3 linked regions of the Oryctolagus cuniculus genome follow. The protein of the gene in region 1 binds, or shares a complex with, the protein of each later gene. Links are inferred from orthologs where the notes say so. Each region holds a gene or a part of one and is shown in the gene's direction. Other genes may lie near its edges.

Region 1 (4,534 bases):
GTGGCTGACCACTAAGCTACCCCATGGCCGGGGCTTCTCTGTGTGTGGGTGGTGGTGGGCAGTGGCCTGGGGTGAAGCCCTGGTAGGAAGGGGGAATTTCTGGGTCCCCCCCACCAGGCCAGAGGTAGAGCCTGAAGCAGAGACCCTCTCTGCCTTTCAGTAGACAGTGGGAACCTACATGGGCGCTCACAGCCCCGCACGCAGTCGGGGCCCAAGGGAAACCAGGCTGCAGGCAGAGTCTGGGCAGAGCTGTCCCGCGTTCTTTGTCCTGAACTCCCCAAGGCAGGAGGGCCAGGACCCGCAGGGCAATGCTGGGTCTTCAGGGCCCAACTTCAAGTAGGTGTCCCGTTGCCCCGCCCTCACCTGTGTTGACACCGCAGCCCCAGCAGGCCCTTAAACTTGACCCTCTGTCGTCCCAAAGCCCACGGGCCCCTCCTCCGGGAGGAGGAGATAGGGGCGTGGCCTTGGGGCATGGGCGGGGCCAGGGCGCCCAGTCTGGGGATCTCAGGATTCGCCCCTCCTCTTTCCTGTCTCTCCTCCACCCCAGGGACTGCCAGCTCCCTGCACACCGCCCCTTCGGGGGCTCGCTCTCACCCCACCCTGCGCCCCGGCTTCCTCTGGGATGCTGAGGCGGGCCCGACCCCTCCGGGGTCCGCACCCCTAGGCCCTCAAGCCCCGCTTGTCTCCTGCTTCCCAGACGCCCCCACCGAAGCCCCCAGCCCGGCCCTGCGCCGCCTCGCCCCGCGTTTCCCCCTCGCTGCGCTCTCTGAGCCCCGTCCCCGTCCCTCCTTCCGAAATACTTGCCCTCCTGCCCTCACTTTCTCACACAGAGGCAAACAAAGACCCACATACCCAGAAATAGCCTCGCGCGGAGCGGAGCGCGGCGCAGGCCGCGTCCCGGCCCCACGCACGCGCGCAGGCCTGGCGGCTCCCGCGCAGCGAGGCCCCCGGGCGAGGCGTCCGTCCGTGCGCCCTCGTCAACACCCGCAGCCGCCGCGCCGGGCCGCAGGGTGCGGACGCCGGCCGCCAGACAAGGGCACAACACACACACACACACACACACACACACAGCCGTGCGCGCAGGGAGCGCCTCCTCCCCGGCACACCCGGCGCGGCCGGCCTCGGCTCCCCCCCGGATTCCTGCCCGCGAATGTTTCCCTACTTGGCCTGCCAGGTCTCTGGGGAAAGGGCCTCAGAAATGCAGCCGGAGCCTCTCGGGGAGGGAAGAAAGTTGGAACTGACTGTTCCCTGCCTGGCCCTGCCGGCGAATTCCCTAACCGAGCAGCTATTTGTGGCGAGAGCCCGGGTGGCCGGCGAGCCCCCCGCCAGCTCCCCGCGCGGCCCTCGGGCGGCTCCGGGCTGCAAGCGCCGCTACCCTGCGCCCAGGCGGGGCCGGGCTCGCCGCGCACCTCGCCGCTTATCTGCGCTGTTTGGACAGCGCGGGCTGCAAAGGCCGGCGTCCCCGTCCCCGCCGAGTCAACAGGCAGACCCCGGGCCGCCGGACTATTTCTGTCTTATCAGTGCAGGAATGCGGCAGCCGCGGCGGCGGCGGCGGCAGCGGCGGCGGGCGGGCGGCGGCGGCGGCGGCGTGGGCCGTGGGCCGTCAGGGCAGCCCTGAAGGGGCCCCCTCCCCACTCCGCTCGAGTAGAAGTGTGAGAGAGCCCAGCAGGACTCAGAGGGGAGAGTTGGAGGAAAAAAAAGGCAGAAAAGGGAAAGAAAGAGGAAGAGAGAGAGAGAGTGAGAGGCGCCGCTGAGCCCACCCCGATGGCCGCGGACGAAGTTGCCGGAGGGGCGCGCAAAGCCACGAAAAGCAAACTTTTTGAGTTTCTGGTCCATGGGGTGGTGAGTGGGGGAAAGTTAGCGGGGGAGGGTGAGCGAGCTGGCTCGGGCTGAATGGAGGGATGGCCGGGAGGGGCCGGGAGGGCGCTCCCGCGCGCCCACCCCTCCGGCGGGGGCGCCGCGGCCACAGCCCAGCGCCGGGACCGTGCCGGCGCCCTGGCGTGCCAACACGTCGTCAGGCGGCGGGCCGGGGATGGGCGCGCGCGGCGGGGAAGGCAGGCGACTGCGCGGGCTCTTGTCAGGGGCGGGCGTGGGACTGGGGGACTCCCCCCACCCAGGTGGGGGTCCCCTTCTGTGGCCGACATGTTGTCTGGGTTCCCCAGCGGGCCCAGGTGTTACCCCTTCCCCGGGGGTGGGGGCGGGGGACGGGGACGCGGCGCAGCCCTGTTGGGTTGTCTGTTCACATCCGTTGGGACGGTGTCACTCTGTTTCCAGAGCGTGGAGCAGGTGACCCTGGAGGCACTGTGGGCGCGAAAGCCCTCTGGCTGAGCAACCTCTGTATCCTGGCAGGAGGGCACTGGGGCATTTTCGGCGTAGCCCCTGCCATCAGGGTCAGGGAGAGGCTCCCTCTAGGGACAGACTCCAGGTGGAAGGAGTCCGAGCGTCCCCTTGGCAGACGCCTGTCCTTAATATCTCCAAGGTGTGAAGAAAGGGCCGGAGTCGGGGACGTGAGGCCTAGGGATCCCAGGGACAGGGCAGCCCCAGAGGCACGTGGGAAGCCCCAGGCAGCCTCAGCAACCCGAGGCAGGGCACGGAAGAGGCCTGAGCTGGGTGGCTCGGGGGCCACGCTGGGTGTGGAGACGCGAGAGGGGACGACGTCAGGTTCACTGCGGCCACATTTGGCCGTGACCCCCCAGGAGGGCACCTTCTTGGTGAGGGAGGCCAGAGTCCCTGAATCTTGGCCTGTTGTGGGGGTGGTGCTGGTGGCTGGCACAGCTCCCTGGGGGCCCTGGAAGCCTCCCAGCAGAGCAGGCAGTATCCCTGGCCTTGACAGAGAGGGAGCCCAGCTGATAAAGCCAAGGGGGTTCCTGGGTCAGCCTGGCCTCCAGCGCTGGGCATCTCTGGGGTCGACTTTCCAGGGCCTGCATGTCCACCAGCTGCATCACCGGTCCTAGCCTTGCTGCTGCGGGGAGTTCCTTTGAAAAGGCCCAGCTAGCAGGGAGAGAGGCTCGACATGGGTCTCTCTCTCTCTCTCTCTCTCTCTCTATATATATATATATATGGCCAACTTAATGCTTCAGTTCTTAGGTGGCTCGGCGCCCCACCATCCCCACTCCCAGTGCCCCATCTAGGCTGGCGGAGAATGGTCACCAGCTAGCTCCATTCTGGGTTGCCACCCTGGAAGCATGAGTGACAGGGTCAGGTGGGGTGGGGGGAGGCAGACACATGGTCGGGCAGGTTTCACTGCTGGAAAGATGGACAGAGACAGCTGCTGGCTGGGAGTGGGAGGGCTTTAGGGGCAAAGTCAGGGGCAGCATCGGGGCGTCTCCTTGGGCCTAGGGTGAGATAATGGAGTGGATAAATGACAACAGGGGCCCCTTGCTCCCCAAGATTCCTGCTTTTCCCAGTCCCCATCCCACCCACTCCCCTGCTGCTACACAAGCCCCTGAAACCCTCATATCCCTCCTGAACTCTGGACAAGTGGCAGTAGCACTTCACTCATTTGCATCTCATTTACACCCCATCCAACCACCTAGGGGCACATGACCCACCTCATCTCCCTCTCCACCACCCTCTTTGAAACCTGGCTTCACTGGGGTGGGGGTGAGCAGTGGAGGAAGCCTGCTGGGTGTGAAGCCTTGGCTGATGGCTGATGGGTGCGGGTGGACACGCTGCTTCCTTTGACCTGGCCCAGGCCCCCTGGTAGCTCACCTCCAGCCCAGCTCCCCCTCCTCCCAATCAGAATCCTGGCAGGCTGTGACGTCAGCCCCTCAGGTGCCTTTGCCCTTGCTCTGCCTTCAGCCTTCACCCGGGGAGCAAATCTTGGGGTCCAGCTTAGTTGCTGAAGCCTCTGGGTGTGGAGTCAGCTGGAGGGGATGGAGTTTGGGATGCAGAGGTCCAAAAGCAGGGCGTGGAGAGAGGAGGGGGCAGCTGAGGAGGAGCCGGTGCAAGGCAGAACAGCTGGAGGAGTGGAGACCAAGAGGGAGGGAGCCGTAAGGAAAGTCAGAGCAGGGAGCTCAGCCCCTAACTTCAACGAAGCCGCAAACGGCAAAACGCTGCGGCCCTCAGGAACCCGGAGCCCTTCAGGTGTTGTCCTAGCCAAGATGAGCTGCGTGACCTTGGCGAGGTCGCCGTTCTCCTTGAGCCACAGTTGCCTCGTCTGTCAAGTGGGAATGAGAGGACCTGTTCACTGAGTCTGGCAGAGGCGCGTGAGGGTGTGAACCTCCTTTGGAAGGTGGAAAGGCGCCATTGCCAGTTACTGTGCGTTTTTGCGGTACCTTCCGCAGCTCCAGGCTCGGCAATGCCCTGGACAATTGCCTGGCTTCAGTTAGCTTCCTGCAGCGACACGCCAAGCCCCCTCCGCCGAAGCCGCACCGATCCGGTGCCTCTGCCCCTCCCACCCAGCGCTCGGCGCTCAGGGTCACCAGCCGGGGGTCTTGGGGTGGGGGGGAAGGGAGACGCCGACTCGCTGCGCCTGGAGCCAGGGTTCCTGGTCTGACCCGCGGGTGCCGGTTTCTGCTTCACCCCCGCCCCA
Region 2 (4,574 bases), on another chromosome or scaffold:
ATGGGACTGGATATCAGCAGCCTATGGTCAGGGACAGCAGAGCTTGGAGGGAACACAGAGGTCACATCTCACTGGCTGAGAAGAGATGTGGCTCCACCCCCAGCTCCGCCCCCGCTGGGCTATGTGGCCAAGACAGCACCCTGCCTCCATGTGGGGCAACCCCTGCAAAACGCAGGGCTTGGACTCGTGACTGGTAAGGTTTCTTCTGACTGGGAAAGTTCCTGACTCTGAGACGGCCGGTGGAGATGGAGGTTGAAGGGGAGTGGAACTGACTTGGGAGGAAGTGAGGCAACATTTCTCAGTGTTCAGCAGACAGCATGCAGAGGATCAGCATGAACAGAATCTCTTTCACCCCTTCAAACCCCCACCCCCAGCATTTGGAAGATGAAGAGATACAGGCTATGGGAGCTTAGCGGGCTCACGCAGTTCATGCAGGCCTCACATTATAGAGAAGTCAGTGACTGGCCTGTGGTCACTTGAGAAAATGTCAATCTCCTAGCTGCTGGGTCAGCTCCTTCCCTCCCCTCCAGCTCACTCCTCCCACTGACACCTGCAGGGCTCCAGTCTGGGGAGCCAGACCTGGACTCGGAACCCACCGCGGGTATGCGCAATGCCACTGTCACCAGGAAGTAATGAATGAGCCAGCTCAGCCCATCCTTTGGTTGAGGGAAGAGCTGGGTCTTTTCCACAAGGGGCAACCAGTGAGCAGAGAACCCTCGGGGACATGCCGCAGTCACACTACCCTCTTCCTGTGCCATTTCTGTTCTCACAGCTCCCAAACCCCAAACAAGCAGGTGGGAGTGCAGAAGTGCCCCAACACATTATATTCACGTGTGCATATGCACATGCACACAGCCGACACATTATGTTCACATGTGCATATGTACATGCACACACACACACACACGGCCACACTGGCCAGCACAGGCTCAGAGTCTGACTCAGGCAGTCAGAGCTGCTGCTTCACTTCTGCTATCCAAACCTGCTATGCTGGTAGTGCTGGGAGCCCAGAAGAACCCAGGGCCTACCAGAAACTGGACACCGTGATCATTGCCTCCCAGGGAGAACAGGCGGTTGAGCAGAGAGGGAAGGGTAAGGACAGGCCAGCTGAGTGCCTGTGTGTGCATGTGTGCACGTGTGTAGGTGGAAGGCCCAGGAGAGGAAAAGAGGCCATGAGGGAGACCAGGGTGGGAAGACACGGGGAAGAGATGGAGACACACCCCCTCGGGTCGCGCCCTCTCTGTCTTCCCTTCTACTCCCGGGAGACGTCCTTCAGGCCTAGGTGTGACAGAAACCTTGTGATGGTGGCACTCCCCCCAACACACCCCACAGCCCATTTGAAAAGCTACGGCAGCAGGGTCCCCATCAGTCACCCTGTGGGATCCTGGTCTCGGGGAGGACAAGGTCTCCCTCGTTCTCCTACTCTCCTCTCTGCCGCCCATTGCTTAGGGCTGGTCTTCCTGGGGTCCTCCCCGCCGCCGAGCGCGAAGGTGTCTGCGCCTTTAAAGCGGCGGCCCCCGGCCGGGTTATTGTCTCGCCTCGCAGCCAATCGCCGGAGCCGTTGGGGGCGGGGGACCCGGCCTCCCGATTGGCCGCCGCGCGCCCCGCCCGCCCGGGATCCCGGGAGCTGTCCGGCCGCCGCGGTGCTGATCCCGCCGCCGCCCACGGGCCGCGAGCCGCACCGAGGGGCACTATGAGCGGGGGCGTCTACGGCGGAGGTGAGCCGGTCCCGGGCCTCCGGGGCCTCGCGCGCAGCCCTGCGCCCCGTATCCGCGCCACCCAAGCTCGGGGCACCCCGGGGCCTGTCACCTCGGCGCTCGAGCGAGTCCGACCCCAGGTTTGGGTCCCGTGCCACCCCTACTTTCTGTCTTCCCGGGACGCCCCAGGCGCGCCGGGCCCAGCCTCTCCACTATCCAGCCCTTCTCCGCCCGACCCCTGGCTCCGTCCTTCCCAGCCCCGAGAGTGGCCTGAACAAGGCCACCGGGTAGGAGGGAACTCTGGCGGCTTGACCCCCACTCCAAGGCCCCCACTCGGACTGTGGCTCTGCCCTGTCCCCCTTCCTCTCGGATCTGTCCGCGAGGACAGAGTTTGGGGAAGGTCTCCTCACCTGCTTGTCTCCCCGCACAGATGAGGTGGGGGCGCTGGTCTTCGACATTGGCTCCTTCTCGGTCCGCGCCGGGTATGCTGGGGAGGACTGTCCCAAGGTGAGACTTTCAGATCTCTTCCCAAATCCTCCCCAGGCTCGCCACTAACCCAGGGCTCTCCCAGCCGAGCCCACACGCTCTGCTGAGCAAGTGTGGGAGAAGAGCCAGGGGCGGGCTGAGGACCCTGCCCTGGGGCTGAACGGGTAACCGGGTGATCTTCCTTTCTCTGCCCATGCTGCCCCCTCCCACCCAGGCTGACTTCCCCACCACGGTGGGGCTGCTGGCCGCGGAGGAGGGGGGCGGGCTGGAGCTGGAGGGGGAGAAAGAGAAGAAGGGGAAGATCTTCCACATTGACACCAATGCCCTGCACGTGCCTCGGGATGGAGCGGAGGTCATGTCGCCCCTCAAGAACGGCATGAGTAAGGGCCCCCCCCCCCGACCCTGAGTCAGACCAGGAGCCCACTCCCAGCCCGTGGGACTCTGTCTCACAGCCACGGAGTCCTCCTCACAACTGTCCAAGTCCCAGGGACCTCCTCAGAGCCCCCTGTAGCTGCCTGGTTCCCAGCCCAGGAGCCCCAAATTCCCGGGAGTGGGGAAGGGGCTTTTCCTCTGGAGTTGAACTCCCCCTCCCCTGGACTTGGCGTCTCTCCCTGCTTCCTTTCCCGTCGCTGACCCCTCCCCGCCTCACCTGTGTCTTTCTGGCCCCAGTTGAGGACTGGGAGTGCTTCCGAGCCATCCTGGATCACACCTACAGCAAACACGTCAAGTCTGAGCCAAACCTGCACCCCGTGCTCATGTCAGAGGCCCCGGTGAGTGCCCTGGGGCCCCAGCACAGTCTTCCCACCCCTTACCTGTCCTTTCTCAGACAGTCCTTCCAGCCTTGTCATCTTGGGCCACCTGTCTTCCTCTTGCTCTACCTCTTTCTCTTCCTGCTCTATAAGCCCCTCTCCTCTCCAGTTCTTTTTTAATCCTTTAACTTGAAAATAGTTGTAGTACATATGGTCGATTTGCTTTGTAAAACATGTTAAGAAGAAACACTGCAGTTCTTGCCGCCTCTTCCATTTCCCCTTTTCCAAATGCCATTGCTTTTCTCCCTGTTATCTTTTTTTTTTTTTTTTTTGTATTTCTTTCCGTATCTCCCAATATCACACTTACATTGCTGTTTGCAGGTTTTCTATATTAGGCATCATCTAAGAATTTCCTACTAGAAAAAAGAGCATTGAGCTCTCTCCTCCTCTAGCCTATATCACACATACTTCTCATTCCCCACCTTTAAGTACAGTTCTGGCTTAGACTTCCTGAAAGATCAGTATTCACTATTTAGCCTCCTGTTACTATGTATGCTAATCAGGGCTGAGCTGGGGAATCCATGATCGCTTTTCTGTTTCTTGAGTGGCTTTAAACAATCTGATTTTAGCTCTCCTTTCACCCCCACGTCCAGAGCCAGCTGACAGCGCCCATTTCTAGTTCTCTCAGGGTTCCAAGCTCAGTACAGGTTGTTCCTGGCTTTTCCCAGTACTGCCTTACAGCATTTGTAAATCTGTTAAGTCAGTTACTACTCACCGATCTCATCCTTAACTTTCAAAGTTTGTTGCTGGTTGCTCTTTTCTTATTTTCTTTTTTAGATTTTTTTTTTTTTTTTTGGACAGGCAGAGTTAGACAGTGTGAGAGAGAGACAGAGAGGAGAAAGGTCTTCCTTCTGTTGGTTCACCCCACAAATGGCCGCTGCGGCCGGCACACTGCGCTGATCCGAAGCCAGGAACCAGGTGCTTCCTCCTGGTCTCCCATGCGGATGCAGGGCCCTAGAACCTGGGCCATTCTCCACTGCACTCCTGGGCCACAGCAGGGAGCTGGACTGGAAGAGGAGCAACCGGGACAGAACTGGCACCCCAACCGGGACTAGAACCAGGTGTGCCGGCGCCACAGGCGGAGGATTAGCCTAGTGAGCCGCAGCACCAGCCACTCTTTTCTTCTTTTCACAACCTGAGGCACTACTCTTTCTCAGGTGAAATTCACATGACATAAAATTCACCTTTTTAAGTCAATCATTGAGGGGCAGGCATTTGGCATAGTGGTTACGACGCCACTTGGGATGCCTGCATCCTACATCAGAGTGCCTGGGTACAAGTCGCAGCTCTGCTTCTGATTCCGGCTTCCTGTTAGTGTGCACCCCTGGGAGGCAGCAAGTGATGACTCAGTTATTTGGATCCCTGTCCCCCGTGTGGAAGACCTGGATTGAGTTCCTGGCTTCTGGCTTCAGCCTGGCCCAGTCTTGGCTGTTGAAGGATTTGGGGGAGTACATCAATGCATGGGAGCTCTGTCTGTCTCTCTCTCTCTCCATATTTCTGAGAAAAAAGCAATTCCATGATTTAAAAAAATTATTAATATAAAGAGAACAGATTTCGTGTATTTCTTTTTTGTTTTTCTTTT
Region 3 (4,230 bases), on another chromosome or scaffold:
ACCTGCCCTGTGAATTGTAGAGAGGTCAGGATTTGCTGGTGGGCTTGGGTGTGTGTGTGTGCGTGCGCATGTGAGAAAGAAGAGGAGAGTAGGGGATGATTGATTGCACTTAGGAGAGAATCAGCTGCCCACATGGTCCTTCAGGAGGTGGGTCCTCCCCCCCCCCGCCCCAGCTACGTCTTCCTACTCAGCTCTGCACAAAGCACCTGTGCCCACCTCAGGGCCTCTGTGCTCTTCCACTTGTCATGCGTGGCTGGCAACTTTTCAGGGCTCAACTCAAAAGTCACCCGCTCTGTGCAGCCACTCCTCCAAACCAAACTATTTTTTTTAAAGAAGATTTATTTATTTATTTGAAAAGCAGAGTTATAGAGAGGCAGAGACAGAGAGAGAGAGGTCTTCCATCCACTGGTTTACTCCCCAGATGGCTGCAATGGCTGGAGCTGCGCCGATCCGAAGCCAGGAGCCAGGAGCTTCTTCCGGGTCTCCCACGTGGGTGCTGGGACCCAAGGACTTGGGCCATCTTCTACTGCTATCCCAGGCCGTAGCCGAGAGCTGGACAGGAGTGGAGCAGCCGGGACTTGAACCGGCGCCCATATGGGATGCCGGCACTGCAGGCGGTGGCTTTACCTGCTACACCACAGCGCCAGCCCCCAAACTAATCTATTTTAATTCTGTTATAGCACTCAGCATTTTCTGAAAAGATCCCTTTATTATTATTATTTTAAAATCGTCTTTCTCCACTAGAACGTCAGCTTCCTGAGAGTAACGACTTGACTTTGGTCGCTGCTGCATTCCCAGTGCCTGGCACATGTAGTCAATACACGAACAAAGGCGTTGGATGAGCCCCCATGTTGTCAGAGACTGGCTTACCCCGAAGAGACGCCCCGATAAGTAGACTCAGACAAGAATCCGCCGCAGATCCTGGGGACATCCACAGACCCCAGGGAGACTCAGAACCACCCGGGAATGGAGAGCCCGGGCTGGGAACAGAGCACCCCCCGGGGAGGGGGAGAGGATGCTCCGGGAGGAGCCCCGCCCCGCCCTGTATCCCCGGCAGCCAATGGGCGCGCGGTCCTCCTGACGCCCCCTGGGACGTGTAGTCCGGGCAGGGGCGCCCTCGGGCGCCGCCGCGCGCCCCTAGACTCCACGTCCCGTCGTGCGCCGGGAGGCGCGGGGATTGGCCGAGCCCCGCCCCCGGCCCGCCCCGCTCCGCTCGCGCCGCAGCCCCAAGAATGAATGAAATCGTAGCGCGCTGGGCGGCAGAGCGGGCGGCGCAGGCCGGGCTGGGCCCGCGCGCGGCGGCAGCGGCGCCCCGGGCCGGAGGCGGCCCAGCCGAGCGGGCCATGGCTACCGCCATTCAGAACCCGCTCAAGTCGTGAGTGTCCCCGCTGTCCCGACCCGGGTCCGGAGTCCCCGCACCCCAGCCCTTCCTCCGCCCTCCCTGGGGCTGGGGAGGGGGACCCAGCGCGCGGATGGTAGTGGAATGGGGGTCCCCCCACGCGCCCCCGTGCCTCTGAGGACTGTCACCCTTTGCCGCCCCTCCGGGGGCTGGGCACGGGAGCCCCTCCTGGGTCGCGGGGGCGCCTCTTCTTTGTCGCTGTCAGTGAAGGAATGTGGCGCGGGCTGGGGGTGGGGGCTTCCCTCCCCGCCTCCATCTGCTGCGCGGTGTCTCTGGGGGCGGCGGGCCCGCCCCGGAGCGGGCTGGACGCGCGAACGCCCAAGTCCGGACCTGAGTCTCCGGGGTTCCCACCACCCCCTCGCTCCTCGCCCGAGCATCTTTCTCTACACCTCCTCCGCCTTCTCCGCGACCCCGGCGCTGCTGGCCTCGGGGTGGGGGCTCGGATGTCGGGGGCCCCCGGTCGAGTCCCCTTTGCTCCCCGGGTCCCCGGCACCCAGAAGCCCCGACGCCACGATCGCCTGGGGCCGCGGCTTCCCTTCTCTCCCGGCCCGTGCACCTCCAGCCCGAGCGTCTCGGCTCCCCTCGGGAGGGCTGCGCCTCCGTCTCGGGGGAACCCCTGCCTTCTCCACGCCCGCCTCCCTCCGGCTTCCTCTCGGCCCCGTGGCTTGGGATAAGGACGCCCGGGTCCGAGCCTGGCGCCTGCTGTCCCTCGCCCTCTCCACCTCTCTCTGGTTCCCTCCTCGGGATCCCGGACTCCTGGGTCCTGGCGCCCCCCACCCCCTTTCCCAGGCGGTGACAGCAGCTCTGAGTGGCAGGCGTGCGGCCGCTCCCGCCCTCTCTCCCCTCCCCCTCCTCCCGGGCCTGGTGGAGGAGGCGGAGGGCGAGCGCCTGGCGGCGCCGCACAAAGGGGCTGGGGCTACCTCCCCCACCCTGCCCCCAAGCCCCAGCGCTGGCTGCCTTGACCTTGAGCGCGGAGAGCTGGGGGTGGGCGAGTGCACCCCTCCTAATGAGGACTCTGTATGGTGGCTGGACCACTGGCCCTCCAGTTGTTGGCCCCTGGTTTCCGGGTTGGGGGTGCCAGGTGGCCGAGCAGGGTTTGTGCAGGGGCAGGGACTTTGGCAGCACGCACCTGCTGTGCGAGCAGAGTCAGTGCGAGGTGGTGCGTGGGGGTGGCAACCGCTTGTTCCTCTCCTGCCCCAAGGCATGCACACAGACAGACCCAAGAGGGACACCCCCAAACTGGCAGGCAGGGATGGGGCTCCTGCGCAGTCATGGGATCCACAGGCCCTCAGGGCCCTGTCTCTGGCCCTGGCTCAGGCCCTCGGAGGAATACTAGGAATAGGGTGCCACTCCTTGCAGGTGCCTGGAGGCCAAGGTCAGCCACAGGGGCCAGGCCAGTGCCTTTCCCCTGGGGAGTTCAGAACCCAGCTCAAGCCATTAATTCTCCCCCACCCCCACGCGCCTCAGTGTTACCATCTGTGAACTGGGGATTACAGCGGTTCTTAACTCCCGGGAGTGAGGCCTAGCGAGGCTTAAACACGGTGATCACTGGGAAGCCATCGGTGCGGAGCCTGACCCTGGCTAAACGCAGTGATGATTAGTCCAGTCAGCACTGGTTCATCAGTACTGGTCAGTAACGATTTCTCCTGGGGCCAGCACCCACTTAGGGCTGGGAGCTCGTGGGAGGGGAGGGGTCTGAGGGTGACTGAGGTCAGGCAAGGGCCAGCCTGGGTCTGTGGGCTCAGATCCCGCTGGTGGGCCAGGACCTCTGGGAGGTGACCTGGTCTCTACACCCAGGCCACACTGGGTCAAACTGAGTGTGCTGTGTCGGGGCCGCAGGCGGCTGGTCAGGCTGTGGCTGCAGGTGTGTGGAGCAAGAGTGCTGAGCCTGGGTCTGGGGGGCAGGGCTCATGGTGGGTCAGGTGTCTGGTGGCCACTAAAGGAGCCTGGAGGCCAGAGTGAGCTTGGGGTGCCAGCGCGTCCCACTTAGTCCTCTGAGCAGATGTGAGTCAGACACCCGACCCCTCCCGTCGGCGGCTGGTGGAGGGGCGGGTCAAGGCCCTACCTGGCTTAGATGGAGGAGAGTTTATGGAGGGACTAGAAGTGTGTGTGTGTGTAGGTGACCACGAGTTTCGGAGGCCTTGAGTGGATCTCGCTCAAGGAGGAGGGGACCAATTGACAAAGGAGGTGAAGACTGGCCCGCCCCGTCTGTGCGCTGGAGCGCCCCCTAGTGGACAAGGGGTGTGCAGGCGTGTTTATTTCCCTCAGCCTCTCAAACTAGGGTGCTCTTGAAGGGGGGATGCGTTTGCGTGTGCGTGTGTGTGTGTGTGTGTGTGTGGAGAGAGAGACAGAGAGAGAGAGAAACGGGAGAATGTGCCTTAGTGTGTCAGCTCACCTTCTAGGCATTCCTTAGGGTCGATTGAGTGTGTGTGTGTGTGCATGTGTGTGTGTGTGTGTGTGACCCAGGAGGTGAGGGATCAAAGTCCAGGTGCATGAATCCTTCCCTAGTGGCCTGGCCCAGCAGTCCCCAGGGGCTGAGGGCATGTAAGGTCACTTCCCTGTGACCACCTGACTCCTCATCTGAAAAACAGGTACGAAATAGGATTAACTCAGGACAGAGCTGTGCCTGCTTCGTGCTCAGTGGTATTTGTGGAGCACACTATGTGCAGGCATGATTCATTCATTCATTTTTTTTTTTTTTTTGGACAGGCAGAGTTAGTGAGAGAGAGAGACAGAGAGAAAGGTCTTCCTTTTTTCCGTTGGTTCACCCCCCAAGTGGCTGCTATGGTTGGCACATTGTGGCCAGTGCACTGCGTGGATCCAAAGCCAGG

What was found.
Region 2: SMARCD3 (region 1) and ACTL6B share a complex: the UniProt entries of both Homo sapiens proteins name them as parts of the BAF complex. The link is inferred for Oryctolagus cuniculus from reciprocal best matches to the Homo sapiens genes SMARCD3 and ACTL6B.
Region 3: SMARCD3 (region 1) and DPF1 share a complex: the UniProt entries of both Homo sapiens proteins name them as parts of the neuron-specific chromatin remodeling complex. The link is inferred for Oryctolagus cuniculus from reciprocal best matches to the Homo sapiens genes SMARCD3 and DPF1.

Annotation. Positions count from the first base shown.
Region 1 is NC_091438.1:22,579,549-22,584,082, forward strand, and holds the start of SMARCD3 (SWI/SNF-related matrix-associated actin-dependent regulator of chromatin subfamily D member 3), read left to right. Parts: upstream 1-1,570; 5' UTR 1,571-1,764; coding exon 1,765-1,842; intron 1,843-4,534. UniProt on the Homo sapiens protein: Involved in transcriptional activation and repression of select genes by chromatin remodeling (alteration of DNA-nucleosome topology).
Region 2 is NC_091450.1:42,839,266-42,843,839, reverse strand, and holds the start of ACTL6B (actin-like protein 6B), read left to right. Parts: upstream 1-1,572; 5' UTR 1,573-1,693; coding exon 1,694-1,718; intron 1,719-2,127; coding exon 2,128-2,204; intron 2,205-2,397; coding exon 2,398-2,563; intron 2,564-2,852; coding exon 2,853-2,953; intron 2,954-4,574. UniProt on the Homo sapiens protein: Involved in transcriptional activation and repression of select genes by chromatin remodeling (alteration of DNA-nucleosome topology).
Region 3 is NC_091449.1:16,352,100-16,356,329, forward strand, and holds the start of DPF1 (zinc finger protein neuro-d4), read left to right. Parts: upstream 1-1,228; 5' UTR 1,229-1,232; coding exon 1,233-1,375; intron 1,376-4,230. UniProt on the Homo sapiens protein: May have an important role in developing neurons by participating in regulation of cell survival, possibly as a neurospecific transcription factor. Belongs to the neuron-specific chromatin remodeling complex (nBAF complex).